Ovis aries: one gene and its partners. The protein of the gene in region 7 binds, or shares a complex with, the protein of the main gene of each other region. Links are inferred from orthologs where the notes say so. Each region holds a gene or a part of one and is shown on either strand. Other genes may lie near its edges. The genes, in order: MED13L, MED8, MED31, MED19, MED16, MED23 and MED25.

Evidence for each region.
Region 1: MED25 (region 7) and MED13L share a complex: the UniProt entries of both Homo sapiens proteins name them as parts of the mediator complex. The link is inferred for Ovis aries from reciprocal best matches to the Homo sapiens genes MED25 and MED13L.
Region 2: MED25 (region 7) and MED8 share a complex: the UniProt entries of both Homo sapiens proteins name them as parts of the mediator complex. The link is inferred for Ovis aries from reciprocal best matches to the Homo sapiens genes MED25 and MED8.
Region 3: MED25 (region 7) and MED31 share a complex: the UniProt entries of both Homo sapiens proteins name them as parts of the mediator complex. The link is inferred for Ovis aries from reciprocal best matches to the Homo sapiens genes MED25 and MED31.
Region 4: MED25 (region 7) and MED19 share a complex: the UniProt entries of both Homo sapiens proteins name them as parts of the mediator complex. The link is inferred for Ovis aries from reciprocal best matches to the Homo sapiens genes MED25 and MED19.
Region 5: the proteins of MED25 (region 7) and MED16 are in contact, whole or in part, in a cryo-EM structure (PDB 7EMF), measured with the Homo sapiens proteins. The link is inferred for Ovis aries from reciprocal best matches to the Homo sapiens genes MED25 and MED16. Residues at the interface, in NP_112235.2 of Homo sapiens: Ala26, Asn27, Gly29, Pro30, Tyr31, Val74, Asp75, Cys76, Ala77, Pro78, Glu79, Val82, Cys84, His85, Pro87, Lys102, Phe103, Met104, Gly105, Gly106, Gly107, Gly108, Glu109, Thr120, Gln123, Leu124, Asp127, Phe128, Tyr151, Leu152; in NP_005472.2 of Homo sapiens: Cys41, Arg42, Ser92, Ser94, His113, Arg161, Lys163, Phe171, Gly172, Gly173, Lys174, Pro195, Gly485, Tyr486, Ala516, Ala517, Gln520, Val521, Thr524, Arg525, Ile554, Ala555, Ser558, Lys561, Ser562, Leu563, Leu564, Arg565, Pro566, His567.
Region 6: MED25 (region 7) and MED23 share a complex: the UniProt entries of both Homo sapiens proteins name them as parts of the mediator complex. The link is inferred for Ovis aries from reciprocal best matches to the Homo sapiens genes MED25 and MED23.

Annotation. Positions count from the first base shown.
Region 1 is NC_056070.1:58,903,955-58,907,579, reverse strand, and holds part of MED13L (mediator of RNA polymerase II transcription subunit 13-like), read right to left. Parts: exon of another isoform or gene 1,772-3,625; coding exon 1,592-1,771; exon of another isoform or gene 982-1,591; coding exon 758-981; exon of another isoform or gene 1-757. UniProt on the Homo sapiens protein: Component of the Mediator complex, a coactivator involved in the regulated transcription of nearly all RNA polymerase II-dependent genes.
Region 2 is NC_056054.1:18,067,035-18,071,360, forward strand, and holds the start of MED8 (mediator of RNA polymerase II transcription subunit 8), read right to left. Parts: upstream 2,921-4,326; 5' UTR 2,899-2,920; coding exon 2,893-2,898; exon of another isoform or gene 1,804-2,892; intron 1,558-1,803; coding exon 1,439-1,557; intron 433-1,438; coding exon 288-432; intron 1-287. Other genes in the region: KICSTOR complex protein SZT2, read left to right, coding at 3,077-3,103. UniProt on the Homo sapiens protein: Component of the Mediator complex, a coactivator involved in the regulated transcription of nearly all RNA polymerase II-dependent genes.
Region 3 is NC_056064.1:25,114,912-25,119,243, forward strand, and holds the start of MED31 (mediator of RNA polymerase II transcription subunit 31), read left to right. Parts: upstream 1-1,423; 5' UTR 1,424-1,490; coding exon 1,491-1,518; intron 1,519-2,369; coding exon 2,370-2,447; intron 2,448-2,919; coding exon 2,920-3,016; intron 3,017-4,332. Other genes in the region: C11H17orf100 (uncharacterized protein C17orf100 homolog), read right to left, coding at 662-1,039. UniProt on the Homo sapiens protein: Component of the Mediator complex, a coactivator involved in the regulated transcription of nearly all RNA polymerase II-dependent genes.
Region 4 is NC_056068.1:79,750,167-79,754,487, forward strand, and holds the start of MED19 (mediator of RNA polymerase II transcription subunit 19), read right to left. Parts: upstream 2,879-4,321; 5' UTR 2,846-2,878; coding exon 2,629-2,845; intron 2,571-2,628; exon of another isoform or gene 1,948-2,570; coding exon of another isoform or gene 1,848-1,947; intron 1-1,847. Other genes in the region: TMX2 (thioredoxin-related transmembrane protein 2), read left to right, coding at 3,304-3,492. UniProt on the Homo sapiens protein: Component of the Mediator complex, a coactivator involved in the regulated transcription of nearly all RNA polymerase II-dependent genes.
Region 5 is NC_056058.1:41,109,546-41,113,871, reverse strand, and holds the start of MED16 (mediator of RNA polymerase II transcription subunit 16), read left to right. Parts: upstream 1-1,469; 5' UTR 1,470-1,574; intron 1,575-2,343; 5' UTR 2,344-2,470; intron 2,471-2,823; 5' UTR 2,824-2,868; coding exon 2,869-3,001; intron 3,002-3,548; coding exon 3,549-3,656; intron 3,657-3,908; coding exon 3,909-4,078; intron 4,079-4,326. UniProt on the Homo sapiens protein: Component of the Mediator complex, a coactivator involved in the regulated transcription of nearly all RNA polymerase II-dependent genes.
Region 6 is NC_056061.1:57,013,197-57,016,821, forward strand, and holds part of MED23 (mediator of RNA polymerase II transcription subunit 23), read right to left. Parts: intron 3,338-3,625; coding exon 3,172-3,337; intron 2,611-3,171; coding exon 2,538-2,610; intron 58-2,537; coding exon of another isoform or gene 40-57; exon of another isoform or gene 38-39; coding exon 1-37. UniProt on the Homo sapiens protein: Required for transcriptional activation subsequent to the assembly of the pre-initiation complex. Component of the Mediator complex, a coactivator involved in the regulated transcription of nearly all RNA polymerase II-dependent genes.
Region 7 is NC_056067.1:55,910,218-55,914,503, reverse strand, and holds the start of MED25 (mediator of RNA polymerase II transcription subunit 25), read right to left. Parts: upstream 2,810-4,286; 5' UTR 2,715-2,809; coding exon 2,581-2,714; intron 2,488-2,580; coding exon 2,442-2,487; intron 1,972-2,441; coding exon 1,847-1,971; intron 1-1,846. UniProt on the Homo sapiens protein: Component of the Mediator complex, a coactivator involved in the regulated transcription of nearly all RNA polymerase II-dependent genes.

The DNA of each region.
Region 1 (3,625 bases), on a different chromosome or scaffold from region 7:
AATTCAACTTGGAATCTTATTTAATAAACACTTTTGTAATGCTTATAATATGTCACAGCTCCAAACACTTTATAAACACTAATTTCATTTTCTCTCAAATATGAAGATTAATTAGGAGTATAAGGTACAAAAACTTTAGTGTATATGTACTTTAGCAGAAATGTACACTAACTCTTTAAAGACAGATATGATTCTAATTTTTCAAAAGTAACAGGACTTTATATACTAAATATACAAAATTATCTAACATTACTAGGATTATTACATTATTCATCTGTATCAAAATGAGTATTAAGATGTTTAAATAAAATATAACAGGGACATGAGTCATTAAACTTCTGTGTGACTCAGGAATTTTCCAGCTAAACACTTTTATACTGTTTTCAGGAACTCCCCCCACCCCCAAGAGTAGATGCACTTTCTTTTCATTCTGAACAATTACTATCCCCTGGTGAGTAGTCCTTTTAAACTCAAGCACATAAATGGGGGAAAAAACAGCTGACTGGATTTTAAGATGTGTTAGTAAGGGTGGTAGAGGAAAATCTTTTCAATCTAATAAAATATAAAGCTATGATGGGAAAACAATGTACTTCCTGAAAAACTTGCCAACTTATCCTTTTCTTCATCCTCCAACTATGTGCAAATTTTCCTGGCGATCTATTTTGAAGATATTTATCCTTTAAAATTTAGCCACAACTAGATGCAACCTGAGGCCCTGCATCATACAGACGACTCTCACCTCTCGTGTCTTTCTCACCTCATATACAGCGCTCAAGTCCCTGAAGAAAGTTTTGGCTCCTTCGAGCAAGGCCTCGTTTTCTGGACACACCACAATATAGGCAACATCACGGTGGCCCCCATATGGGTCCAACAACAGCCTCTCCCAAAACGGCAAGGAGAATGGCGAGATGGTGAGGAAGTCCTTGTCGTAGCCGACCAGCAGGGTGGGGATGGGCAGTGGCTCAGGAGACTCTTCAGAACCTAAAACAAGACTGCAGTTTAGGAAAGCTCTTGTGAGTCCGTTTCCCACCACCTCCACAACTGCGAATTCTCTGGCAATTTGTCTTAATTCTGGCATCGGACATTTTATTGTAGGCTGACATGATACTCGTAAAAGTAGTCTTCAAATCCTCTAATTAAATGGCCCCTGATGAAGAACTTTAATTAAATGAGTCAGAACATGCTTATAAAGGTTCAGTGAGTACAGACTAGAGCAGGTTAGTGTTAGTTCTCCAAACAAAACTATCTACCTTCCTCTGAGACAGACACTATGGTCCTGACTACAAAGAAGTTGACAGAATTAGTTCAGAGGCTCATCCAGATGAAACGGCAGTGAGGACTGGGAGGATGAGGAGATTCTAGCAAATAGTCTAGTGAGGCATTATTTGCCCCACTGACCTTGATTATGCCAAAGACATTAAGAAAAATTATCTTCAAAACTGACTATTGGAAAACAGAGAGATTATAAAATGTAGTAGTCAGGAGGGAACAGATTCTATCTTGTCAGCGAAGGAAGACTTGACAGTAACTAGAGCTGCTCTTCTCACGGAAGAGAAAGTCCAGAAGGACGTGGGAAGGGAGAGAGGCCTACCGTAGGTCCCCCGGCCCGCCATCTTGTGGAACTGCTGCCAGGTGAGTGGCCCCTGCACGTGCTGGATGTTCTCCCAGGTCCTGCCCGTGCGCTTCTTCTGGATGGCGTCCTGGAGAAAGGGCTGCAGGGACAGCAGCGTACGGACCACGTCCTGGGAGGACAGCATGCTGATGTCCAGCACTGCAAGAAAAATGACAGCACAGGACAGGACCCGTCAAGGCAGGCTGCACGACCTCAGCGACAGGCCGTGACGGAGACGTCACTAGCAGTAGAGTCTACTTGCGGCAGACTCTAAGATACTTAGTAAATAATAAATTTTATTATCATTGGAAATAATAAAAGGGGCTAACTATAGAACTGCCTAATAGTGGAAAGGTGAATACGTCTGACTTTTTAAAACCATAGAGACCTGTTTCCAAGGGTATTCACAAGAATAGAGAGCTGCAAAAATTTCTTAATGATTGCTTCATAATTACTTTTAGTTTCTTACTTTTCAAAAAATCATTTATTTCTGTATGGCTATGCTGGGTCTCTGTTGCTGTGCGCAGGTTTCTTGCTGCCCTGAACAGGAGGCGGCTGCCCTCTAGTTGCAGTGTGGGGATTCTCTCTGCAGTGGCTTCTCTTGTTGCGGCCTGCAGGCTCCGAGGACAGGCTCAGCAGGTGTGGCGCACCGGCCTAGTGGCCCCATGGCAGGTCAGATCAAACCCGAGTCCCTGCTGCTGCTGCTGCTAAGTCGCTTCAGTCGTGTCTGACTCTGTGTGACCCCATAGACGGCAGCCCACCAGGCTCCCTCGTCCCTGGGATTCTCCAGGCAAGAACACTGGAGTGGGTTGCCATTTCCTTCTCTAATGCATGAAAGCGAAAAGTGAAAGTGAAGTCGCACAGTCATGTCCGACTCTTAGCAACTCCATGGACTGCAGTCCACCAGGCTCCTCCATCCATGGGATTTTCCAGGCAAGAGGACTAGAGTGGGGTGCCATTGTCCCTGCACTGGTAGATGGATTCTTAACCACTAGATCACCAGGGAAGTCCAGTTTCTTAATTACTTTTGTTCACAAATATCAATGTTTATCTGATTATATGATGAGTGGGAAAAAGGAATTTAAAAAGAAGCTTAGAACAGCTAGGGAGTCACGGTTTCAGAACTCACATTCTTCCTGCTAGCAGGAGGACTCCTTAACCTTGAACATGGAAACCTCTGAAACTCTCCCCAAACTGCACGTGCATGCATGAACACAGGTGTTATTTTTTCCCGGGGTGGGGGGGGGGGAGGGGAGAGGGTCCATAATGCTCATCAAATTCCCTTAAAGATCTGAAGAAATAAGTACTGAAGTTGGAGGTGGTCAGCTATGCACCCGCAGAGCTGGGGTCCTCAAGACCTCTCCTTGCTCTTACTTTTCCGGCCGACGAGGACGGCGGCACAGATGGAAACCTGTGACCTATTTACCAACTAAGCCTGGGACACACGGTACTGAAGGGTCTGAAGACATTCTCAGGTGCACCCTCAAATCAAACACAGGTTGCAAATCCATGGCACAGAGGTTTTGTTTTCATTTTTCAATCTGAAACAGACTTCTCATGAAATTTCATACACAAATCTGGATTTCCAGCTTCTCTTGAAAAACTAGAAAACGGTCTGACAACCGTGGGGCTGAGACCACTGCACTGCCAGAGGACCACCACTTGGAGTCGAGGAACTGCCTCCTTCAGGCAGTTTTTGACACCCCTGCCTCTGCTGCCTGCCTGAGACTGAAGCAGAATTTACCTCCTTTATCTTCAAGCCTGTGCTGCTTTTCTTCTTACAGTAAAGAAAAAAGTAAAGTACTTCTTGTACCCATGGTTCTATCCAATGCAGGAAAATAACAGACCAAGAGAGTTACAGGTTAAAGAAAAATAAAAGCAGAGGCAATTCTTTGTGAACTGTATTCCTATGCATACAAAATAGGATATTGTGGAAGGACACTGCTTTTTTGCAAAGCTAGCTCTCTACATCATTTGTTTACACGATCTGTCTGGTACTTTCAGCATCTGAAT
Region 2 (4,326 bases), on a different chromosome or scaffold from region 7:
TAATAATATCTGGCTTCCTAAGACACTATTCCCCTCATTCCATCCTTCAACTCTATCTACTCACACCCTGTCTCTACCAGATCTAAGGATAAACCCTTCTCTACCACATTTTAATCAAAGATTGAAATAGGACAGAAGGACAAAAAGCAAGGCCTCCAAAATGTAGCCCCCACTTATTGCCACACACTACTGCATATTCAAAATTTCTAGATAGAAACCAACCACTGTGCTGTCAGTCCTCATTTAAGGGCTTTGTTTCCTAAGCTGCATCCCTCTCCTCCTCTTACCATGAGATCTTCATCTCGGTCTGGGGACAACACCAGAGGGATGATGACCTGGTTGCGGAACAGTGGTGTCTTTTCATGCTTCAAGACCTTGTTCAGAGTGTTCAGCTGTCCAGAAAGCAAGGCAAAGCTGTCCAGGACAGATGGCCTGGTGGTGGTAAGAAGATGTCAGCATGTTCCTGGTAAAGGAGCCTCAAAGGGGTCCCTCGGACTAGGAATAACCAGACTCACCCCCAAAACACTCATAGCCCTATGCTGGCCTGGGCAGGAACTAGACTGGCTCGCAGGGATTATGGGGTTAAGAAAGAGGGATACACTTTGAGTTTCTGACACAGATGGAGAAAAAAAACAGGTCATTATAGCAATCCCCACTTATCCTAAGTTTCACTTTCTGAGGTTTCGTCTACCCGTGTCAACCACAGTCCAAAAATATTAAATGATAAATCCAGGAAATAAACAATCCATGTTTTTAAATTGGGAGGTGTTCTGAGGAGTGTGATGAAATCTTGCTTCATCCCACTCTGTCCTACCCAGGATGTTGATCACCCCTTTGTCCAGCATATCCATACCGTATACGGTACCCACACAAGTAGTATAGAAAAAAAAAAACAACAACCCACAGTATATACAGAATAGGATTCAGTACTATCATAGTTTCGGGAATCCACAGTGGGTCTTAGAACTTACCCCTGATAGATCACGAGGAGCTACTACATTTGAATGGGGTGAGGACAATGGCAAAATAGGAACGATGGCTACACTATTATCACTAGAACTTCAGAAACCGGGTGAAAGATCCCTTTCCAGATCCAAACTTTCCTAGATTGGACCTAAAAGACTTGGCAAAACCCGTGCAAGAAATCCAGTATGAATACTGTGGTGGGAGGACCCACTGCAGGAGGACCTCATCCTGGAGAAGTCAAACAGGGAGAATCAAAAGCTAGAAAGAACCTGGGTTGAGAAATTGGGCATTTCTCTACTACCCTTAAAGTTGAGGTCCAAGGCCAACTTCAGTGTTAAATGTTGGGAAAGCCAGCTCTTTCTAAATCAAAAGATGTTCACAAAGTGATAAATGCTGGAGGAGGTACCCTGTGCAGCAGGTGGCCTAGCCCCCACCCATAGAGCCCTCCCCAGCTTGCCCTGGCAACTCTTACCAGGTCAGCCGGTCATACTCGTTCTCCAGCTTGTAAATGAAACTCCCCAGTGAGTTCTTCAGATCAGCCACTTGACTCAGCAGTGCATCTAATGATGCCTCAAGCTGTTTTTCCTCCCTCTGAGCCAATAGGAATAGGTTGGTTACTCAGCTGAGTGTAAGGATGACACATATAGAGGAAGGCTGAAAAGCCAGGGTGACAGTGTGCAACACCAGGACAGTGACACAGAATCTCATTGGCACAGGGACAGTCAGGCTGTTTCTGTCTCCTGTCAGCCGGGCTCCACCCCTATTTGGAGTTAGGATCACAGACAGCATCAACCCTTAGACCTTAAAACCCATTCATCTGACCTCAATTCCTCTTACCTACTGATTCCTTCCTCTCATCGCTTTTAATCCGGGCGTGACTGTTTCTCTATATTAGGCTTGGTTTGTATCTGTTCTCCCTCACTGGACAATTTTCACCAGACGTAATGCCTGGGATTTATTCTGTTCGGCACACCTCAGCAGCAGACGTACTCTGACGTCCTATGTTCTAGAACCTGCCTTGTGAACCTGGCTGTTCTTGGCAATGACATAATCTCTGAAAACCTACCTATACAGGAAGGCTCCTCTGAATACTGCCACCGTCACCTTCCTCTTCCCTCAGCATTTGCTGTTTCAACCTCCTCCTTGCTAAATCAATCTGCACTCACTTTATTGCTGTGCCAATATTCCTGTGCCCCTTTCGCAAGCTTAGTCAACCTATAAAAATGTACTGACAACTACCCTTCTGCAACAAACAGTGACAAATGAAAAACAAAACAAAACAGCAACCAAACCGCACATGCCCCTAAGCACTAGGCAAACTATATTAAAAGCTGAGGGGTCTCCAGTTTTATCTCATTTCACCCTTTAACTACTAGGGGTACACACTAGGAAGAATGAAACAGAACTGCAAAACCCCGAATGTGGAGGACACGAGCCGGGTTCCACCCACGGCCTCAGATTATTTAGTCTGGCTTCTGGCCACCACGGTCCCACAATTCCTTCCACCCTCGGGCTTCTCTCCAGTTAGATCCTCTGTTCTGTCAACATCCAACGTCTAGGCCGGGGCCTGAGCCCGAGCCCAATCCACCTCTTTCTTCAGCCGTCTTCCTTGGACTGCACCTTCCCAAATTTCAACTTGATCCTTTTCCACACCCTATCAACAACTTGATCCTTTTTCCACACCCTAGCAAGACAGTGCTGCCTTCTCCGTCCCAACCTAACCGCAGTTTCTGTCTCCTGTCAGCCGGGCTCCACCCCTATCCCTCTCCAGAGGTCCTCGTCCCCATCGCGCGTCCCTTTATCTCACAGTCGCGGTCTCGACCAAGTCCTCTCATCCCTAACTCCTCACTCTCTCCTCGGCCAGCCCACTTTCTGTCTCGTTACCCCAAGCTAGCTACCCGTCGCTAGCGCCAAACCGGTCCTCACCTGCATTGCTGCGGCGGGGGGCGGTGTCAATCACTTCCTCTTCCGGTTCCCAAGTAGGCCAATTAGAAAGCTCAGAACTCGACCCTCCCACTCACTTCCGGCCCCGCCAGTCGCGAGACCTCCGGGTCAGGGGTCAGGAGCGGAGCATCTTCTCTGGCCCGGGCCGGCGCGGGAGGGCTGTGTGATGGCCTCGGAGCGCCCGGAGCCGGAGGTGAGGGGCGGGCGGGCGCAGCGCTGGGCCTGTAGATCCGAGGGGGAGGGTCCGGCGGCCAGGCGCGGCCGTGGCCTCCTCCGGGTCTGGGGGCCGCCTGGCCCTCCTGAAGGCCCAATAGTAGCATCTCCTCACCCCTACTTTCCTCGGGGAGGCCTAGAGGAGGAATTCGTGGCTCAGTTTTGTTTGCCGAAATTTAATCCACGATTCTCTACTCTAGGGCTCTTGGGTTCTTTGACCTCGTAATGGCATTCAGAAAATCTGTATTTTGATCTTCTGTTGCAGTTTCAGTGGGCAGGTTTGCCGGTTGCTGCCTCATTCAAATATTATTGGAATGCCATAAACAGCATAAATTAATTAGGTTCTAGCGCTCATGCAATTGGAGAGCAGCTTAGATTTCATGAAAAAACGTTGGATTCAGAGTGAAACCTCGTTCTGGTATTGGCGCTGCCCTGTAGCTATCTGTGCAACTTTGGGCAAATCTTGACTTCCCGGATCCTGTTTCCTTCTTTGTAAAATATCTATCTTCAGGTCTATTGTGAGGATCACACGTTTTAAATGGGAAAATGCAAATGAAGCATCCATTAAGTACGAAGGACCATGCAAGGAACTTTTGTATACATTGTGTGGTTCAGACTTGTGCAAGGAAGGTGACAATACCCATTTCCATATACAGACAAACTAAAAATCGAGGGAAGTGAAGTACCTTACCCAAGTGCTACTCTCAGCTGGGGAGTGGCAGAGTTTTGTAATTAGAAGTCTAAAATGTCAGATTTGGAAAGAAAACATCACTAGGAGAGTTGCCCAATGTTACAGGAGAACATGTGAGTGGATGGGAAGGGTGAGAGGTGTATAATCATGTATTGAATCCTTACCTATCGAATGCTTACTGTGTCCCAGAGACCATCTTAGCGCTTTACCAATGTCAAAGATTACTCTCAACCCTACACAGTAGACACTTATCCCCATTTTTCAGTTGAGGAAACTGAGGCACAGAGGTTTTAAGAGTAACAAAGTTGCACAGCTAGTAAGTGGCAGAGCCAGGACTCCAAAACAGGTGGTCCCTTGTGATCTTGTGTTCTTAGCCATAATGTTTACAGTGCAAAGAGAAAGTAGCCACAGGATGGTAAATCTCCAGTGCTAGGATTTGATGTAATGAGATCCAAGATTAAATACAACTGTAGGAAACTACCCTATTAAAAAGGATCAAATGTGCTCACAGG
Region 3 (4,332 bases), on a different chromosome or scaffold from region 7:
GACTTGGCATAAAGAGAAATATATTGAAACATAAACACAAGCCAAGTAATTAATTAAGGAAAGTCTGTTGCTTGCAACTCAGGTTTGCAGCTGGCATATAATTCCACTGATTATGATTTGTTTGCTCCTTGTCCCTAAGTTTGAAGCAGCCAAGGTCATTCAGTGAGTGAGTGATAGTCGCTGAGTTGTGTCGAGGTCTCTGTGACCCCATGGATTGTAGCCTGCCAGGCTCCTCTGTCCATGGAATTCTCCAGGCAAGAATACTGGAGTGGGTAGCCATTTCCTTCTCCAGGTTTGAAGCAGCCAAGGTTATTTAAAGGGCCCCCAATTCAAAACTCACCTGCCTTGGAGGCTCAAACAGTCTCTTTTCCATCAGCTTAACACATACAGTATCTAGAGCCTAAAAACTTTTTATGCTGGCTTCAAATTAAAATAGTTCACTGGGTCAAAGGCTTGCCTTTGGTCCAAGGTGCAGGAGGGTCAATGAATGTTGGCTAAATCCCGAAACCGCAGCTTGGCTCTTTCTTAAATTGATCTGTGGACTGTTTCCAGGAAACCAAAGATGATCGGTCCACCTGGCAGCAGGCAGGCTGCGAACTGGAGGCGATTCTGCCCTGGCCAAGGGCCATGGCCCCCTCGTGGCCCCGAGGAAGGCAGCATTTCATCGGGCCTTTTGGATGTTATGGCGGGCGGCTGGCTTCTCCCGCCGCGGCGTGCTCTCCACGCGGTGCACAGACGTCTCCACCCGCAGGGACGAGGCCCTGACGTGGCGGGAAGCCGTCTCTGTGAGCTGCGAGGCGGTTTCCACGTGCTGGGAGGACACCTCGAGGACTCGAGGGAGCCGCTTCCCAGAGGAGGAGACGGAGGGTCCCTCGCTGCTGCGCTGGGTGGTCTCCACCTGCCGGGAAGATGTCCTCACGTGACGGTAGGATGTCTCCACGCGGTGGGACGAGGTCTCCACGCTGACCGTCGCCGTCTCCTCGGAGCGGATGGATTCCGCCCGGGCCGGAGAGGGCTTTCCCCGAAGGGGTGAGGCCATCTTATGGGGGTAACAGGGCCAAGCTGACCTTTGGAGGCCCCACAGCCCCACAATCCCCGAAGGATTATTTTATACGGTGAGGAGCGACGTCACATGCCATTGTGATGCAGGCAGAGCGGTGGTCGAGGGTCCCGCGAACCACGTGGAGGCACCGTGATCTTGGGGCGGGGAGGCCTAAGATTCCTTGGGAACGCTGGGTTCGTCCCCTCGAGAGCGCCGTCTGCCCCCGCATCGCCCCTTAGCCTGTCAAGAACCTGTCCGGGTGGAGGCGGGGTTGGGGCGGGGCGGGCCCTGGATGGGCGGAGCCACCCGCCCCCTTGCGAAGCTGTGCCCACCCCCGCATCCCACACTGCCCCGCGGCAGGAAGGGGACGCTGCGACTTCCGGACCTTCCCTGTTTCTCCGATCCTGGCTGTGTGGGGTTGCTGGGGACTTAAGAGTGTCTGCTGGTGATGGCCGCGGCCGTCGCTATGGAGACAGGTGAGTAGCGCTCTGAGCCTCGCGTTTTGTCAAATAGAAACTGTCCCGGGTCCAGACACCTGCTTCCCGGGATTTTTTGAGAATCCAGGCCCAACTCCCGGCAGAGTGAGTGATCGGAGCGGGAGGCACCAGGGTTTTTTTTTAGCGACTGGAAGGGCGAAGGTAATTTGGCCTTTTCAGAGTTTGTTTTGTTGGCCGATCCTTTCTCCCCGTTAGTTATTCAAACAGTGGCCCCACCGGCTTCCAGAAGACTAAAGGAGAGATTTTGGATCATAAACCGCTTCCTCGAGTTGTTTTTTTGCATCTCAGATGAGCTTGCCTAAGTTTAAAATATCGTCAGCGAACTCTTGTATTACTGTGCCACTAACGGGTCTCACGTAAGCACGCGTTTCTTGATACTCACCAGGGTCTCTTTCATCTTGCATTCTGAACGTCTCTTGATGGATTTAGCATTTTGTTTTTGCTAAGCTTGATCACTTAACAGCTTGTAACGCACTATCAAAATAAGGCAAGGCACATTGCTGCAGCTTATCCTAGTGATCACTGTGAAGTCCCAACATGGTGGCTCACGAGTGATTAATGTTCTGCTCCATGTATAATCTTGTTTTCTTTGATAATTTAACTTTAGATAAACCTTTTTTTTTTTTTTTTTTTCTTAATCAGGGCTTTGCTTTCCTTAGACTTATAAGGAAGGTGTTTCTCCTCCTACACCCAGTTTAGGAAAACCTTTGCATGCTCTTCTTTATGTAACTCAGCATTAGTCAGATGTCTGTACTGCTGTTTTCTGTCTAAAAATCAGTATTATATACAGTGACATTTATTTTGGATGATTTTGCTATCTTCTCTCCTAGATGATGCTGGAAATCGACTGCGGTTTCAGTTGGAGTTGGAATTTGTACAGTGTTTAGCCAACCCAAATTACCTTAACTGTAAGTTGTTGAGCACCTCATTGAAGTGAATAGCTAGTTACGATTTCTGATAGAAGAGTCAAAATTCATAGTACTGTCAGCCCTTTGTATCCTTGGAGGCAACCTCAGTTGGTGGAATCTGCCCATCCTGAGGGTGACAATACTGTCATGGCACTATGTTGTTTTGTACAGGAGATTGGAGCACCTGTGGATTCTCGTGTCTGCGGGGCCTCTTAGAACCAACTCCCTGTGGATTCTGAGAGATGACTTTAGTATCTAGTTTTGTACATTCTTAACTGAATGGAATGACTGTTGCACTTATACTGGTATATATAATTGAGCAAACTGGGACTTCTGTTTTGAATTCAGTGTGTGTTGGTGGTGGGAATGTTATGTAAGTAAATTCTTTACGATTATGTTAGTCACAGATCAGTAGTCCAAGGACTGGTGTGCTCTACAGATGTATTTTTTTTTTTTTTTTTATGCCTTTCAGTTCTTGCCCAAAGAGGTTACTTCAAAGATAAAGCTTTTGTTAATTATCTTAAGTACTTGCTTTACTGGAAAGAACCAGAATATGCCAAGTATCTAAAGTAAGTTTAATTTTTATAGTCCTAAACATGTGTGTACTTTTATTATATTCCAAAGCACTGATATTTAATAGACTTCTTACTTTCACGTTGGAAAAAATACCTGTTGAATCTCTGCTCTCCTTTCAGTTGCCTCCATTTTAATACGAGACACATCATCTCTAACTTAACTGGGATTACTGCAGTATCTACTCATTGGTATTCCTCCTTTCTCCCTGCCCTGCCAAACAAAGAAGAAACATTTTCTGCACAGAAGCCAACTTGGTCTCTTAAAAATAGAAATTACATTCCATTAGAACCCTTTGGTCGCTTCCCATTGCATGCAGAAGAAAATCTCGTCTCTTAGCCCTGTGTGATCTGTCCCTGTCTTCTCTGACCTTATCTTGTACCACTCCCTGCATCTCACTGAGTTTCTGACCTCAAGGAACCCGCAGTCCATATATGCAATGACAGCCATAGCCTGAAAATGAAAAAACATAGAAAGAGGTACTTACTTGTAAGCAAGGGTTTCTGGAGAAGGTAACCGTACCCGAGTCTTAATAGCTGCTTTCTTATTTTATATATCTTACATAATAAATACATGAATTTATCATTCAGGTTGTGCAATAGATACTCTCGTTTTAAGGCTTACTGAAATGCAAGGAGCATATTGTAATCACAAACATTTCTTTTTAATGATAAAAAATAAGCCTTGAACACCCACCTCTGCTTTGTCTTAAATAGGTAGTCAAAAAGCAGTGGTGAAATGTCTAGCCTTTTTTTTCCCCTAAACAGACACAAGTTTGAGAGGAGAATGTTTAAGACTTGTACTTTGGCCAAGCCACTTTTCTCTGTCTAATAACAGCTGCTTTATGAAGTCCACATCCTCCTTTTGCCTGTGGGACCCTTTCCACCCTTACTGGCCCTTTATAAAAGAACCACTTATTCATTTAATAATCCAGAGAAAATATATATATTTTTTTACTAGATTGCAACATGTTATATGTATGTATTATAGACTTAGAGACTCAGTGTTGGACACTGAGCCCTGGACACCGTCAGGTTCAATTTTACCCACAACATTGCTGAGATGGTCATCTGTATACTGGCTGGAGGTTTCTAGTGAACACATACTAATTCAGGGGCAGCCAATTCCGTTGTTAGCTAGATTCCAGAAAGTTCCTCCTTGTATTATTGTGTCCGACTCTTTGCAACCCCATAGATTGTAGCCTACCGGGCTCCTCTGTCCATGGGATTTTCCAGGCAATAGTACTGGAGTCGATTGCCATTTCCTTCTCCAGGGGATATTCCCAACCCAGGGCTTAAACCCAGGTCTCCCA
Region 4 (4,321 bases), on a different chromosome or scaffold from region 7:
GTCAGTTCAAAAATCTTAATGGTTTCCCATTCCCTCAGGAAAAAGCTCAAATTCCTTCAACTTGCATTTGTCGTTGAAGGTATAAACATCCTACTGAAACATCACTAGCTGGAATCAAGATTGCTGGGATAAAGAGCAACAACCTCAGATAGATGACACCACTCTAATAGCAGAAAGTGAAGAGGAACTTTGGAGCCTCTTGATGAGGGTGAAAGAGAGTGGAAAAGTTGGCTTAAAACTCAACATTCAGAAAACTAAGATCATGGCATCAGGTCCCATCACTTCATGGCAAATAAAAGGCGAAAAAGTGGTGGCAGTGACAGACTCTATTTTCTTGGGCTCCAAAATCACTGCAGACAGTGACTGCAGCCATGGGATTAAAAGATGCTTACTTCTTGAATGGAAAGCTATGATAAACCTAGACAGCATTTTAAAAAAGTAGAGACATCATTTTGCCGATAAAGGTCCATACAGTCAAAGCTATGGACGTGGGATGAACTGAAAGATGTCCCTGAGACTAACATGTATGTCTAAAATGACTCCCGGTTTCCACCTCCTCAAACTTGTTCTTGCCTGACCTCAGCACTACCATCAATCCTGTTATTCAAGCCAAAAATTCGAAATCACCCTCAATTCCTCTCTCCTCCACTTCTATATTCAATCCTTCATTCCTGTCAGTTCTACCTCTAACATTTATCCTGCATCCATTTACTTCTTTCCTCCATTGCTATCGCCTAGTCTAAACCACCTCTTTCCTGGACCACTAAGCAGTAACATTATTGAAAGGGGGATTTTTGTAGAAACTAACGCAATAATTAATTCAGCTATTTCACTACCACTTTGCATTATTACATTCAATAGTTACAGCTGACACACCTGTAAAGTCTTCTCCAGCACCATGAGTTTCATTTTCACTTTCCGTATCAGAAAACAATCACTAAGGTTTTCTGTCTCTTTGTTGGTCTAATAGTCACATCATCTGAATCAGAACTACATTCGGAACAACTATCATCTGCTGCTGCTGCTGCTAAGTCGCTTCAGTCGTGTCCGACTCTGTGCGACCCCATACACGGCAGCCCACCAGGCTCCCCCGTCCCTGGGATTCTCCAGGCAAGAACACTGGAGTGGGTTGCCATTTCCTTCTCCGATGCATGAAAGTGAAAGTGAAGTCACGCGGTAGTGTCCGACTCTTAGCGACCCCGTGGGCTGCAGCACTAGGTGCTGCTCGGACAATAAGAGAAAGTATCTGCATAAAATTCACTGAAAAAATTTTCTTCATTCAAAACTGCATGGTGTGTCACTTTTTAAAATTTTATGAAAATAAACTTGTGTTTATAAGGTACACAAGGTTGGAATAAAAACCTAACAGAGCAAAATGTGAATGATAATGTCAATGATAAGCTGTATGATGAATCCTTGATCAATTTTAAGCTTTAACAACTTCCCACGGTGATGTTAATGGTTTCACTCTCTAAAAAAGGTATTGACATGTTTCTGGTCAATAATATGTTAAAATCTAAATGTCTAACACAGGCCTCTGCCTACACTCTCACTTTATCTATCACTCCTCTGTTCACTTCACTGGAGTCCAGCTGATCTTCTGTTCCTCAAACATTACAAGATTTTTCTCACATTGGGGCTGTTGATTTCATTTTTTTTGTATCCAGTTATTCCTTCTCCCACTCATAAATGGCTAGCTCTTTCTCTGCGCTTACATTTTAACTCTAAAGTAACCTACTCAGAAAGAGCTTCTCTGATCACTCTAGCTAAAGCAGTTCAGCTCCCTTAAATCTTATCACATTTTTTTTTCCTACAGCCGTAACTGCTTTGTGATTTCACCCTGTTACCTTTTGCCTCCTCCATGGGCACGTAAATTCCCAAACAGGCAAGGATCTTGTCAGCCTTATTCACAGTTGTATCTTCAGTGTACAATAACCCCTGGTACATAAAATAGGTGCTCAACGAAATAAGTTTTTGAATGAAAGAGTCTGGTCCAATTCTATTCACTTGTTCCAACAGATGAGGAAAGGCCCAGGCCCAGAGAAAAAAGAAAGGCAACAAACCAACAGGAAGTCGGAAGCAGATTTGGAACTAGGTCCGCAAGGATGTTAAATAAGGACTCTCAAATTCCAAACTTGAACCCTGGGTGCTTTTTCAGTTAGCCACTCAGTCGTGTCCGACTCTGCGACCCCATCGACTGTAGCCCTCCAGGCTCTTCCGTCCACGGAATTTTCCAAGCAGGGATACTGCAGTGGGTAGCCTTTCCCTTCTCCAGGGTTCTTCCCACCTGAGGGCTCAAACCCAGGTCTGCCGCATTGCAGGCGGATTCTTCACCGTCTGAACCTCCAGGGAGTAACTTTTAGGGAATCATAAAACCACCATCAGCTTCAGAGACAGGGCGGAGCGTGAAAGGCGGCCACAGAGACCCATTCTTCTCATTCCCAGTCCATCCTGAGGATTCCTGTCGTGCCTTTGGCCTTGAATTCGCAGTCGTTTCCGACACGGAGCTCCGAAATCCCCGCACGCGCCGCCCGGGCTTCCCCTCACCTCCCTCGGCATCTAGGAGCCACGCCCAGCCCCACCTCGCGGCGATCTGATTGGCCGGCTTCGGCCGGGCCTCGGACTCACCTGGCAGCTCCCTCATTAGGTAGAAGGGGCCGCAGCCTGCCGCCGACTTGTCGCTCCCGGGAGGGGCCGAAGCGGCGGTCGGGGGCGGGGCCGGGCCGGGCCCCCCGCCCGGAGGCGGTGGCGGCGGGGGGGGCGGCTTTCCGGGTCCGAAGCCGAGTGCCGCTGGGGGAGGTGGCGGGTCAGCCTGGGCCCCGAACAGCGCCGTGAAATTCTCCATCGTCCCCTCTGCCCCGGCGCCGTCCCGGTGTCTGGCGTTAATGATTCTCATTGGTTAATCTTTTCACGGGGTACCGCCCTTTTCCTCCAGGAGTCGTTTACCATTGGACTGCCTCTGGCCCTGCCTACCTTCTTCCGGCAACGACTTCCGTCGCCTTCTGAGAACGTTCAGGAAATACTCCTTAACATTATTAAATTTTCCGAGGCCTCCGCTCGCAGCAATCGCTTAACCAATGAAATGACTTAGGTAGTAAAAGCGACAGCTAGGTTAGCCAATAGCATATCAAATCCCTCTCTCACCTCCCTTACCTGCCGTAGAGGGCCAATCAGAGATCTAGCTCCGGGTCTAGAGGCGGGCCATCTGACACTTGGCCCAATGGAAACCTTCAATGGTGAGAGAGGCGGGACCAGACCTACGGAAGCCGAAGAGAGCGGCCGGTGCCTCAGGGGGCCGAGAAGATGGCGGTCCTAGCGCCTTTGATTGCTCTCGTGTATTCAGTCCCGCGACTTTCACGATGGCTGGCTCGACCTTACTACTTTTTGTCAGCCCTGCTCTCTGCTGCCTTCCTACTCGTCAGGAAGCTGCCCCCTGTCTGCGAAAGTCTCCCCACGCAACGCGAAGACGGCAACCCGTGTGACTTTGACTGGGTGAGCGACCCTCCTCGGGACCCCACGACCTTGACTGTCCCCGCCCTGGTGGTCGCAGCCGGGAGCCCCGAGGGACCGTTTTGAGAACGCCTCAGGTTCCGGGCCTCTTAGCGGACTTGACAGACTGCTAAGAGTGTAGGGCGTGGATTGTTACCGAGCCTAACCCTCCTCTTGTTTAGGGTGAGAAAGCAGCCGGTTAGCTCGCCCAGCAGTCTCAGCCTTCTGCCTTTTGAGGCCAAGCTCCTTCCCACCTCCCAATCCATGCTCGACCAGAGTCTTCCCCAGACTGGGCCCTCGCACTCTCTTCCAGTGTTGCTCGTTAATAAAGAACCAGTGAGTTGTACAAGGCGAGTAGTATTTGTAGTATTCTCGTTTTATTGATGAAGAAACGGATCTTGGCGTAGTTAGGAGACTCGTCCAAGGTCACACAACTAGTGAGCGACGAGGATTTGCAGCCACTCTTTAGCCACGGTAACAGCACACAGCCATTTCTTAAAATCAAGTTAACAGTCTCTCAGGGCGGACTGTGTGCTGGGCTGTGTGCCGCATACTGGGGATGTAAAAATAAATAAAATTGTTAGGCCTATGGAAATGGAATTGTAAAAAAAAAAAAAAAGAAAAAAACGCTGTAAAGAAATCTGTCTCAAGCCTCTTGGAGTTCTCCCTGAACTGGAATGGAGGGACCACTCAGAAAAATAACTTGAGGGGCTTCCCTGGTGGTCCAGGGGTTAAGACTGCACTGCCTTTGCAGGGGGCCTGGGTTCCATCCCTGGTCAGGGAACTAAGATTCTGCATGCTTTAAGGGGAAAAAAAAATGTAAAATAAGTTG
Region 5 (4,326 bases), on a different chromosome or scaffold from region 7:
ATAAGCAGGGTGACAATATACAGCCTTGACATACTCCTTTTCCTATTTGGAACCAGTCTGTTGTTCCAGGTCCCATCACCTCATGGCATATCGATGGGGAAACAATGGAAACTGTGACAGGCTTTATTTTCTTGGGCTCCAAAATCACTGCAGATGGTGACTGTAGCCATGAAATTAAAAGACTTGGGAAAAAAGCTTGACCTTGGGGAAAAAGCAATGACCAACCTAGACAGTGTATTAAAAAGCAGAGACATTATTTTGCCTACAAAAGTCAGTCTAGTCAAAGCTAGGGTTTTTCCAGTATAGATGTGAGAGTTGGACCATAAAGAAAGCTGTGCCCCGAAGAATTGATGCTTTTGAACTGTGGTGTTGAAGAAGACCCTTGAGAGTCCCTTGGACTGCATGGAGATCAAACCAGTCAATCCTAAAGGAAATCAGTCCTGAATATTCATTGGAAGGACTGATGCTGAAGCTGAAACTCCAATGCTTTGGCCACCTGATGTGAAGAACTGACTCATTGGAAAGGACCCTGATTCTCGGAAAGATTGAAGGCAGGAGAAGTGGACAACAGAAGATGAGATGGTTGGATAGTATCATCGAGTCGATGAACATGAGTTTGAGTAAGCTCAGGGAGTTGGTGATGGACAGGGAAGCGTGGCATGTTGCAGTCCATGGGGTCGCAGAGAGTCGGACACAACTGAGCGACTGAACTGAACTGAGAGGACCGGCTGGGGCTCAGGGCACGGGTGGGGGGCCCAGGGCAAGCCCACAGGCTGCCTCCAGACCCACGCGGACTCCGTCCTGTCCAGCTTCCTGGTTGGCTGTGTAGATTCTCCACACACCGCGTCCCTAGACAGCCCGGCCCCCAGACCTTTGCCCAGATGTTGCCTGCTCTCTGTCATACCCTTCCCTGCAATCAATCCTATGTCTTTCTGGAAAAGACCTTCCAGACTGGGGAGAGTCCGACAGCTTTTGGAGGAGGAATTGAGGATGGAGACTGATTCTACCGGCCCTTGATGGGTTGAGTTACCTGGCTTATAAGCGAGTTACACGTTGGCTAGACATCGTGATAAAAAGCGAAAATATGGAACGCTTCACGAATTTGCGTGTCATCCTTGCGCAGGGGCCATGCTAATCTTCTCTGTATCGTTCCAATTTTAGTATATGTGCCGCCGAAGCGAGCACAAACCACGAACAGACGCCAGAACTATTTATAGTAGACAGAACCAAATACTTTACGCTGAGGGCGAATTCTATCAAAAACCAATACAGCAATTTTCCTTTTTTTTTACTAACTTAGTGCAATAATGGCCTAATCTAAGGGGATTATTCACTTAAATTGAGAAAGTTTGTTTTTTCCATCAAATATAACGCAGATGGCTGTTGGAAAGGCACGATTGTATGCAAATTACCCCGGAAGCGGGGCGGAGCCACTGAGGTCCCAGAAGTCTCCGGGAAGCAGCCGGGCTGCGCGGGAGACTCGTTGGTCCTGGGAAGATGGCGGCGCCGGAGCCGGGGCGTTAGAGCGAATGCAGACGGCAGCCTCCTTCTCGGTGGGCGTACAGGCTGGTCCAGTGAGTGTGGGGCTGGGGGCTTGGGCAGTCGGCCAGCCTCCGGATGGCGCCGACGCTGCTGGGATTATGGGTCGGAGCAGGGCCTGTGGAGTCAGAGGGCGGTCCTGGAGAGCAGAGGGTGCTGGGTACGCTCCCTGAGGGCTCTGGGCGTGGTCTGGGGGGTCGTGGCGGAAATTTGGGGTGACCTGAGGCTCCCTGCGTTGGGCGGTGTAAAACCGGGGAGGGCCTAAGGTTGTACCTCCCCGGGGAGGGCCTGGGATGCATTTGAGGCGGGGCTTAGGGACTGTCGGGTGGGTTGGGGCGGGTCCTGGGTGGCCAGGTGGCCAGGTGTGTGGAGGAGGGGCTTTGGGATTGTTTTGGCGACTTTGGAATAAAAACAGAAGTTTAGGCCGGGCCTGGGGACGCCAGGGACAAATTGAGAGTGAGGTCTGGAAGGCACATTTTGTAGGGGCGGGGCCGGAGGGCTTTGGGGGCAGAGCTTAAAATGACTGTTGGTTGGGCTTGTGGGCGGGGTGTCAGTGTTCTGGGGCGGGGCTTTAAGAAGCAGCGGGTAATGTGATTGGGAAGGTGAAAGGAAATAACCTTAGTCGCGGCTGGGTGCAAAGAGCCTGCTGAGCAAGCTTTCACTGACCCTTTCTGTACCCCTGGAAGCCAGGCCCCAAGTTGCTGCCTAACCCCCACCCTGCCTCCCTACCTCTGTCTAAGGCAGCCTCACTGGTTCTCCTGTGTCCTCCTTAAGAATAGACCTGGGTGCTACCTCTTGTCGCAGCTTTCACTGTCCCCGTCACTGTACACCTGGACCAGCGCCACCATCCATTCCCCAGCCGTGCCCTTCAGACAGCCAGAGGGGCCTGTGAAACAGAAACAGGCTTCTTGGGGCTCCCATCTTCCTCCTGGTAAAACCCCCAGGCCCTGCAAGACCTGCCTCATCCCCTCCCCAACCTTACCTTGCTTCTCGCCCCCACTCACTCTGTTCCTGCTCTGCAGGCCTGGATACTGCTTGAGCATCCCAGGCTCAGTCAAGCCTCTGGGCCTTTGCACTGGCTGTTCTCTCCTCTTGGCATGCTCTTCCTCCCAGCTGCATGGATTGATCCCTGGCCATGCTTGTGTAAAACGCAGTTCCCTGGCCACACACAGGGCAGGGGTTGAGTCCACTTTGTCCCCCGTGGTAACCAGCATCCACCACCGCACTCGGGGCCCTGCAGGCACCCTGTGAAGATGGATGACAAGCCTGTCTTCCCTCCTGTAGGAGCTGGTGACCGTCCTCCCTGTGTGACCTTGGCAATTGGGCACCATGGACCTGGCTTACATCTGTGAGTGGGAGAAATGGCCCAAGAGCACCCACTGCCCATCCGGTCCCCTTGCCTGCACCTGGTCCTGCCGCAACCTCATCGCCTTCACCACGGACCTGCGCAGCGATGACCAGGGTGTGCCACCCCCATCCCAGGCCCCCTCATAGGGCCCTCCCCCCAGCTCCCATGGGGTTTCCTCCTCTGAGACAGGGGTGCTGAGGGGCACAGAGATAACCTTGAGGAATGGCCGTGTCTGCAGGGCTGGGGGAGAGGGGGTGGTGGCCACTTATGGCTTGCTGAAGCTCCTGCAGGAGTTTTCCAGCTGCACGTGTTGCCACCAGCTTTGCGGTGCACTCTGCCGCAGGGCAGATATTCTTCCCACCACAGAGCAATATGCACTTCTTAGAGGAAATTAGGAAAACGTGAAACTTTAGGATGAGGAGAACCCTAACCTTTCATGGAGAGACACCCGCTGTTAGTGTTTTGGGTCCATTTTTGAAAGCACAGTTGTAACCTCACAGAAGGCCATGGGTCTCCCCTTGGGCTGCCTGTGTATAAATCATGTTTCTGGAGTCCCTGCAGCCTGGCTTTAACGCTTCCTGATAGGCTTTGACAGCCCAATCCCCTGGGGTGGTCGGGCACCAGGCCGTGGTTGCCACACTGACCTCACTGTCCCTCGCAGACCTGACCCGCATGATCCACATCCTGGACACTGAGCATCCCTGGGACGTGCACTCCATCCGCTCAGAGCACAGCGAGGCCATCACCTGCCTGGAGTGGGACCAGTCTGGTGAGGGCAGCCTTCCACCCTGAATGCCAGGGCTGCCTGCTCTGTCTTCCTGGCCTTAGCCCTAGGCTCAGAGCTGGGACTTGAAACCCTGACCTGTGCCTTTGAGGCTTCTGCTCTTCTCGCCCCTGTTTCTGAACTCACCTGTGCTGGTCCCTTGCTCTACGACTTCTACATTCCGGCCCCCCCACCCTGATGGACGGCGGGGATGGGGCTTGTGATGCAGATTTGCCCAATCTCCCACCTTCCCCTCAGGCTCTCGTCTGCTGTCAGCTGATGCTGATGGGCAGATCAAGTGCTGGAGCATGGCTGACCACCTGGCCAACAGCTGGGAGAGCCCCGTGGGCAGCGTGGTGGAAGGGGACCCCATCGTGGCCTTGTCCTGGCTGCACAACGGTGTAAAACTGGCCCTGCATGTGGAAAAGGTGGGTGTCCTGCCTGGGGGAGCAGGCCTCAAGCCCAGGGAGGGCTTGGCTCCTCCTCTCATGGTGCCAGGTTGTCACACCTGCCACCCAGTTGTCAGCATCTGTGTTGCTAGCATCTCCCACGTGGTTTGACGTGGTGACAGCCCTTGGTTCCTGTCTGTACCCCACGGTTCAGCCCAGTGTCTCCCTGAGAGGGGAGCCTCCTGGGTCAGGGTGCTGAGGTCAGTCCCCGAGTCATATCTCAGCCG
Region 6 (3,625 bases), on a different chromosome or scaffold from region 7:
TCACTATTCGATCGTGAAGGACAATCCAATATGGCTCCTTTAAAACCAAGAAAAAGCCTGAAGAAAAACACCATTTCTCTAGTAATCCACTCCATATCCAGTATTCTACTTCAAAAGCCTAAAATAATAGCACTTTCTCATTCTTTAATGTTTTCTATTTATCCAGCTTGGTGGCTTCACAATGAGTCAAATTAAGTCAATAACAACCTGGGGAGAAGTGTCTGTGAGTTAAGAGTGCTCCAGACATGAGTCTGTCTAGTTAACTTAATAGCTGATATTTACTACATGGTAAATTGACTTTATCTATACTTACTATACAGGTAATGCTGGTACACAATTACAATTCACAAATATGTAAATATTTTGGAGGAGTGTAAGGAAAAAGTGATTCATAAAGATGCATAATAAACAAGTTTGGAAAGCACAGCTTTAGACAATATTACTGACACTCAAAGATGTCAGACATCTGTGTGGTACTGACTAGATATGTGTGGAGGTCACAGAGGGAGACACGGCATGAGTGGAGAAGGTATAGAAGGCTTCGCTGAAAAAGCAAGCCCTAAGTTAGCAAAGAATGAGTATGCTTTAGGGAAGGTAACAGAAGGAAAAGCATCCTGGTATATTCTCTTAGATGGCAGAAGTACCAGAAAAATGTCTCAACAAGCATCATTTGCAGGAGGAAAGGATAAATTAGAGATACCAAGGGAACATTTCATGCAAAGATGATCTCAATAAAGGACAGAAATGGTATGGACCTAACAAAAGCAGGAGATATTAAGAAGAGATGGCAAGAATACACGGAAGAACTGTACCAAAAATATCTTCACAACCCAGATAATCACGATGGGGTGATCACTCACCTAGAGCCAGACATCCTGGAATGGGAAGTCAAGTGGGCCTTAGGAAGCATCATTACGAACAAAGCTAGTGGAGGTGATGGAATTCCAGTTGAGCTATTTCGAATCCTAAAAGATGATGCTGTTAAAGTGCTTCACTCAATATGCTAGCAATTTGGAAAACTCAGCAGTGGCCACAGGACTGGAAAAGGTCAGTTTTCATTCCAATCCCAAAGAAAGGAAATGCCAAAGACTGCTCAAACTACTGCACAATTGCACTCATCTCACATGCTAGAAAAGTAATGCTCAAAATTCTCCAAGCCAGGCTTCAACAATATGTGAACCGGAGATCAAACTGCCAACATCTGCTGGATCATCGAAAATCAAGAGAGTTCGAGAAAAACATCAACTTCTGCTTTATTGACTATGCCAAAGCCTTTGACTATGTGGATCACAATAAACTGTGGAAAATTCTCAAAAAGATGGGAATACCAGACCACCTGACCTGCCTCTTGAGAAATCTGTATGCAGGTCAGGAAGCAACAGTTAGTAAAAGACCTGGAACAACAGACTGGTTCCAAATAGGAAAAGGAGTACGTCAAGGCTGTATATTGTTAGCGTGCTTATTCAGCTTATATGCAGAGTACATCATGAGAAACACTGGGCTGGATGAAGCATAAGTTGGAATCAAGATTGCCAGGAGAAATATCAACAACCTCAGATAGGCAGATGACACCACCCTTATGGCAGAAAGTAAAGAAGAACTAAGAGCTTCTTGATGAAAGTGCAAGAGGAGAGTGAAAAAGCTGGCTTAAAGCTCAACATTCAGAACACAAAGATCATGTCATCTGGTCCCATCACTTCATGGCAAACAGATGGAGAAACAGTGGAAACAGTGGCTGACTTTATTTTTTGGGACTCCAAAATCACCGCAGATGGTTACTGCAGTCATGAAATTAAAAGATGCTTACTCCTTGGAAGAAAAGTTATGACCAACCTAGACAGCATATTAAAAAACAGAGACATTACTTTGCCAACAAAGGTCAATCTAGTCAAGGCTATGGTTTTCCATTAGTCATGTATGGATGTGAGAGTTGGTGTGTGAAGAAAGCTGAGCACCAAAGAATTGATGCTTTTGAACTGTGGTGCAAGGGACTCTTGAGAGTCCCTTGGACTGCAAGGAGATCCATCCAGTTCATCCTAAAGGAAATTAGTCCTGAATATTCATTGGAAGGACTGATGCTGAAGCTGAAACTCCAATACTTTGGCCACCTGATGCGAAGAGCTGACTCATTTGAAAAGACCCTGATGCTGGGAAAGATTGAAGGCAGGAGGAGAAGGGGATGCCAGAGGATGAGATTTGAGTAAACTCCAGAAGTCGGTGATGGATAGGCAGGCCTGGCATGCTGCAGTCCATGGGGTCGCAAAGAGTTGGACATGACTGAGCGAGTGAACTGAACTGAACTGAAAGGATCTAGATACATAATATGTTAAGGGGTCAAAAATAGATCAGATTTTAATTGGAAAACTAAGGTTGGATAGGAGTGGGACCAAGGGATGTAGGGACCCATAGTCAGGTAGGTTTATTTAGATCTGATGCAAAAGAGGCACTGTAGATTTCAGAAGTAATAATAAAGTGAAAAAAAAGAAACATTCATTAGTTGCATGATGACCTTGTTTAAATCACAATGATTAACTTACTGGTAGCGCAGTGATGATCAATCCAATGGCATTCATCCATGCTGTAATGTTCTCTCTTGGCACTAAAGGCTGACTATTAGTTGGGAAAAAGAACAAAAAGGTGAAATTATAAAAACATTTTATATGGTTGCCACTGTATCTTACTTTGAGAATATATATAATTTGGGGGCTGACAACTGATCTGTTTCAGTAAAACTACAATGGGTTTTTAGTGAGTAAAAATATAAATAAAAGCTAAATAAGGCTTCTCAATTTTTTCAATTTTCTTCTTTAACAATGGTTGCTGAGCTGAAAGACTATTTCACTACTTTACATTTATTCTCCAATCATTATCCCCTACTTTATACTGGCCTTTAAGAAGAAAATCTTGAAAGACTGTCTTTAGGGAGAAGTTAACATTATTCCTAAGTTAAATGTCAAACAGCTAATAAAGAGTAGAGTAGAACAAATCCAGGTTTTCTGGCTGTTCAGGGCTCATTCCATGTCACCTTTATCACTAAGACAAGATCTGGAACCTAAAGATACTCACTATTCAATGTGCCCTGGCCTTGGGGCAATGGGTGTGTCTCATAGCTCCAAATAAAATATCATTCTCTTAAACACTGAATCTTATGGCATGAAACAGGATACACACCTCTTCAGGACAACATTTAGAAGAGCATTTCCAACATCCTGGCCAGAAACAGCCAAGGCCATGAGTTCCACACAAGTAACATGCAGTGCGTGGGCAGCGGGGTTGGGAAACTCATTGAACCTCCAGTCACAGTTTGGGAATGGACCAGGAGATTTGCCAGCCATCGGTGCAGACGATTAAAGCAATAACTGGTTGATAATTCTGAGATTAAAGGCTCCTGTTTGTATAGTGCTTTATAGTTTTCAAAGGTTCAATATGTAAATATTTCATTTGATTATCAATATATCTGATTATGAGCCCTCAATAAGTGATTTATTGGAGAGCTTAAGAGGCAAATAATACAAACTGAATACAAATAAATCTGACATGTGTTGATAGCAACCATGTGATCAGCCACAGGTATCAATGACTGGTCTTCTATAAGTGGGTTCTTATTACTGTGACACGACAGCTG
Region 7 (4,286 bases):
AGGCCCTGTGCTGGGTGCTAGAAACTTGAGGGACATCAGACTTGGACTTGAACCTCAAGGAGCCCCCATTCCACATTATTCAAGTCTCACCACAATCTGTTCCAGAGGTTCTCGACTGGGGCGGATTCTGTCCCCAAAGGGACATCTGACAATGTCTGGAGACATCTTTGTTTTTATTGTTTATCACACTGGGGAGGGAGGAGACCACTGGCATTGGGGGGGAAGGAGCCAAGGATGCTACTGAACTCCTTACAACACACAGGAATGCCCCCCACCCCTCCACAACACACATACAATAATCATCTGGCCCAAAGGGTCAACAGTGCTGAGGTTGAGAAACCCTGCTCTGCCCTGACCATGAATTCTAACAACCATAAGGGGGGAAAGTGAATGTGCAGTGCCTGGTCTAGCACGTGAAGCCTGAAACAAACCAAGTGTTCAACAAACATTTGCTGCAGATAACAGCAGCCCACGAATCCGGTTGTTTAATGGACTCTGACCAGACCCTGAGCTGAACACAGTATGAAGATTAGCTTCTGTGACCCTTCTCTGAGTGCTGATATGGACTACCGTTATCCCTCTGCAGACCAAGAAACCAAAACACAAAAGAACAGCAAAAGCTGAGGGAGCGCTTAATCGTGTCAGGCACTGTTCTCAACAGTCATCAACTCGTTTGATTCCCAAAGTCCCCTATAGTGTCACCGGAACTAGATCTCCACTGAGCACCATCTCCTGGTATTCATGCCCCCTCCAACACTGAACAGAACTGACTTGTATACTAAACAGAATGTGACACAAATGATGGTGTGACTTCTAAGATTTGATTATAAAAATCTTTGTAGTCTCCTTCTGCTCTTTCTGTTGGATTGCTCAGGCTGAGGAAGGCCAACTGCCATGTTGGGAGGACACTCAAGCAGCCCCATGGAGAGATATCTTAGGAATAACAGCTAGCAAGGAACAGCTAGCAAGTTGGCCTCTGGCCAACAGCCACAGGGTTAGCCACCTTGGAAATGGATCCTCTGGTCCCGATCCAACAGTTGGATGACTGCGGTCCCAGCTCATCTGACTGAAATCCCACAAGAGACCGTGAGTGAGAACCATCCATCAAAGCCACCCCTGAATTCCTTACTTAAGGAAACAAGCCACTAAATTAATTTTTTTTTTTTTTTTTGGCTGTGCCCCTCAGCATGTGGGATCTTAGTTTCCCCACCAAGGATCAGACCCATGTCCCTTGCAGTGGAAGCACAGAGTCCCAACTGCTGGACCATCAGAGAATTTCCAAGTCACTAAGCTTTAATCTGTTTTCCCAACACTGGATAAGTAACAGGATGACTATAAGTACTATTACCGTTCCCCTTTTAGAGATGAGTTCTATTAGACACAGAGGACAGGGACTCGTGGGTCTGGCAGTCCTGTTGTGGTAGAGCTGAAAAGTGGCCCCAGGCTGTCTGCACCTGCAGTGTGAACTATCAACATTGACTCCAAAGCACAGAGGCTTAGCCCCACCCCTCTTGCGCTCAAGCTTCAGTGCCCCTAGTAGGAAAAAGAAGGGCTAGAGTAGACAAGAGAAGCAACAGACAGAAAGGAGAATAATATATGAGGAGTAGGACGGGTGCTGGACTTCCCCAGGCCTCCTTGACCAGGAAATTCTTTCTACTTCCAAGCCAGACAGCAACACCAGCTGAGCATACAGAACCGACCACTGAAGTGACCTAGGGACAAAACCACAACCCCCATCGCAGCCCTTTTTAGCAACCAATGTGAGGGGCTGGATCCGGCAGCACCATTCCTCTGCCGTCCCTCCCAGGTTCCCCCAACCCTTCCGGAAGCCGAGAAAAGAGCTCACTTAATGCCATCGAGCCAGGTGACAAACTCATAGGCGCTGCTGGTGGGAGCGTGACATTGTACGTAGGACTCTGGAGCGCAGTCCACCGTGTTGAACACCACGAGGCTGTACTGGGTGCCCCCATACTGGGAGGGGAGGACAGGAGAACTTTTCATCTGGGACCCAGCTCCTTTTTCCCTCAGGGGAATCGGAGCTCCCAGCCCCTCCTCCCTCGGACCCGGGGGTCCGGACCCCGGTACTCCCACCTCAGACCCAGGACCCGAGCCCTTCCCGCCTCGGACCCAAGACCTGAGCCTCCTCCCCTCTCGGACCCATTAGTCCGGACCCCAGTCCCTCCTCCCTCAGCCCCAGAACCCGAGCCCCATTCTCCTGGAAACCAGAGTCCAGACCCCAGCTCCTCCCCGCTCGGACCCGCAAATCCCGACCCCAGCCCCTCGGACCCAGGTGTCCAAACCCCAGCCCCTCCCGCCTCCGACCCCGGAGTCCGGACCCGAGCCCTCCCACCTCGGGCCCAGGGTTCAGGTACCGCCCCCTCCTCCCGCAGACCCAGTCCGGACTCCCATCTTCCCTCAAACTCGAGAGTTCCAAGACTCACGTCTCCGCCGAAGTCCGTCTCGGCAGGAGGGCCGCCATTAAAATACCTGTGAGGGTCGGAAGTGAAAGGTCGGGGTGAGGAGAGAGTGTGGAAAACTAAACTCGGAGGGCGGGGTTGGGGCCGCGGAAACGGCACTCACTCTATGGCCGGGAGCAGGTAGTGCTTGCGGAGCCCCTCGAAGTAGGGCCCCAGATTGGCCGTGCCCTCAATTACAAACACCACGTCAGCCACGAGGCCCCCGGCGCGGGCCGGGCCCTCCGACCCGGGGACCATGCCCCGCGCCGCAGATGCCGCCGTCGCCGCCACCGCCGCCACCGCCGCTGCCGCCGCCGCCTCAGACACCGCGGGCTGAGCGGAAGTGCGCCTGCGCCGCGCGCGCCCCCGCGCGGGACGGCCTCTCGGCGCTGGCGGCGCGCTGGCGGCCATGTTTGTGCGGGGCGCCCGGGGCGGGTGGGTTTATCTCCATCCTCCTTCGCTCCCAGTGTGTGCAAGACTCAAAAAGGACCTAGAGAACTCCTTCGGGGACCAGAGGTGGAAGCTTGAATTATTTGCAGAACTTTCGAGGGCGAAATATACTGAAAGCGGCGCGTCAGACGCCATTTTTGAGGGGGGGGCGACCTTTCCGACACCGGTTTCAATGGAAGGGCCGGGAGACCTGGTTGCTATGCAACGCATACGCTGCCCTTGTTTTCCTAAAAAGACAGATTAGGTTTCTAGTTAAGTTCTTACTGGTTCTTGGGGGATGGGGGTGGGTGGGTCGTGTGAAGGGTCCAATCACAACGTCTAAAACGGGGTTACTAGGCAACGCTTTAAGGTGGCAATCAACTCTGAAAGGAGTGCAGCTGTTTTTTCCCCACTAAAAGAAGCCGAACTCTAACCCGAGTGGAGGTTGCTAAGCAACACCTGATAGTTGTTTTCTGGGAGAAGAGCCAGAAACTGGCCTAGAACATGAATACATTCCAGGTGGATTAAAAATGTAAATATAACAAATGAAACCATAACACTGTATAATCCTGAAGACTGGGGAAGAGTTTCTTATCATTACAGCAAAGCCAGAGCACGGAAAATATTGAGCTGTTTGTCCGCAGAAGACTTCATAAACCAAGCTGAAAACGATACGGTAAACTGCGGAAGTCACTGTAACATGTGTTGACAGAAATTTACTACCCAAATACGTATTACTGATCAATACAAACTTAGGAAAACAGAAATACTTTTTTTTTTTAATTGGGGAGGAAACTAAGCAGGTTTTTCCTGTACGCAAAAACATACTGAAAGTCGCTCATATGCACAAGTTAGTAAGTGCTAACACAGGGTCCAATGATAAGTCAGTTTATCTTTGTCATGTTAATTAATGCTGGAAAAATAAGTCCATGACGGTGGGAAGGTTTGGGTGAAATGAGCAGGCTCAGACGTGATCTAGTGGAGATGAAAACCAAAACAGCTTGCTCCAATGCAGTTTGTCAATATATTTCAAGGTAAAAGGGTGCATTGCTTTGCACTCAGCAGTATCACTGTTTTGTCTCATGTACTTTATTGATCCTTTTATTTTCTTTGCTGAACGCTTGTAAAGCAAATCCCAACATCGTATCATTTTACCTCTACCTGCTGGATAGGCATCTCCCCAAAGTTGCAGGTAACCACTATGCCATTAACATCTCTAACAAAATTCTTACTTCTTGGTATTGTCGAACACTTAAATCCATAATCAAATTTTCCCAGTTCTCACAAAATGTCTTTTTACAATTGTTTTATTTGCATCAAGATCCAACAATGACTGAACCTGTGTTTAGACATCTTAAAATTCCTTTAAATCTAAAGCAGATCCCTTCTTTTGTATGCTAG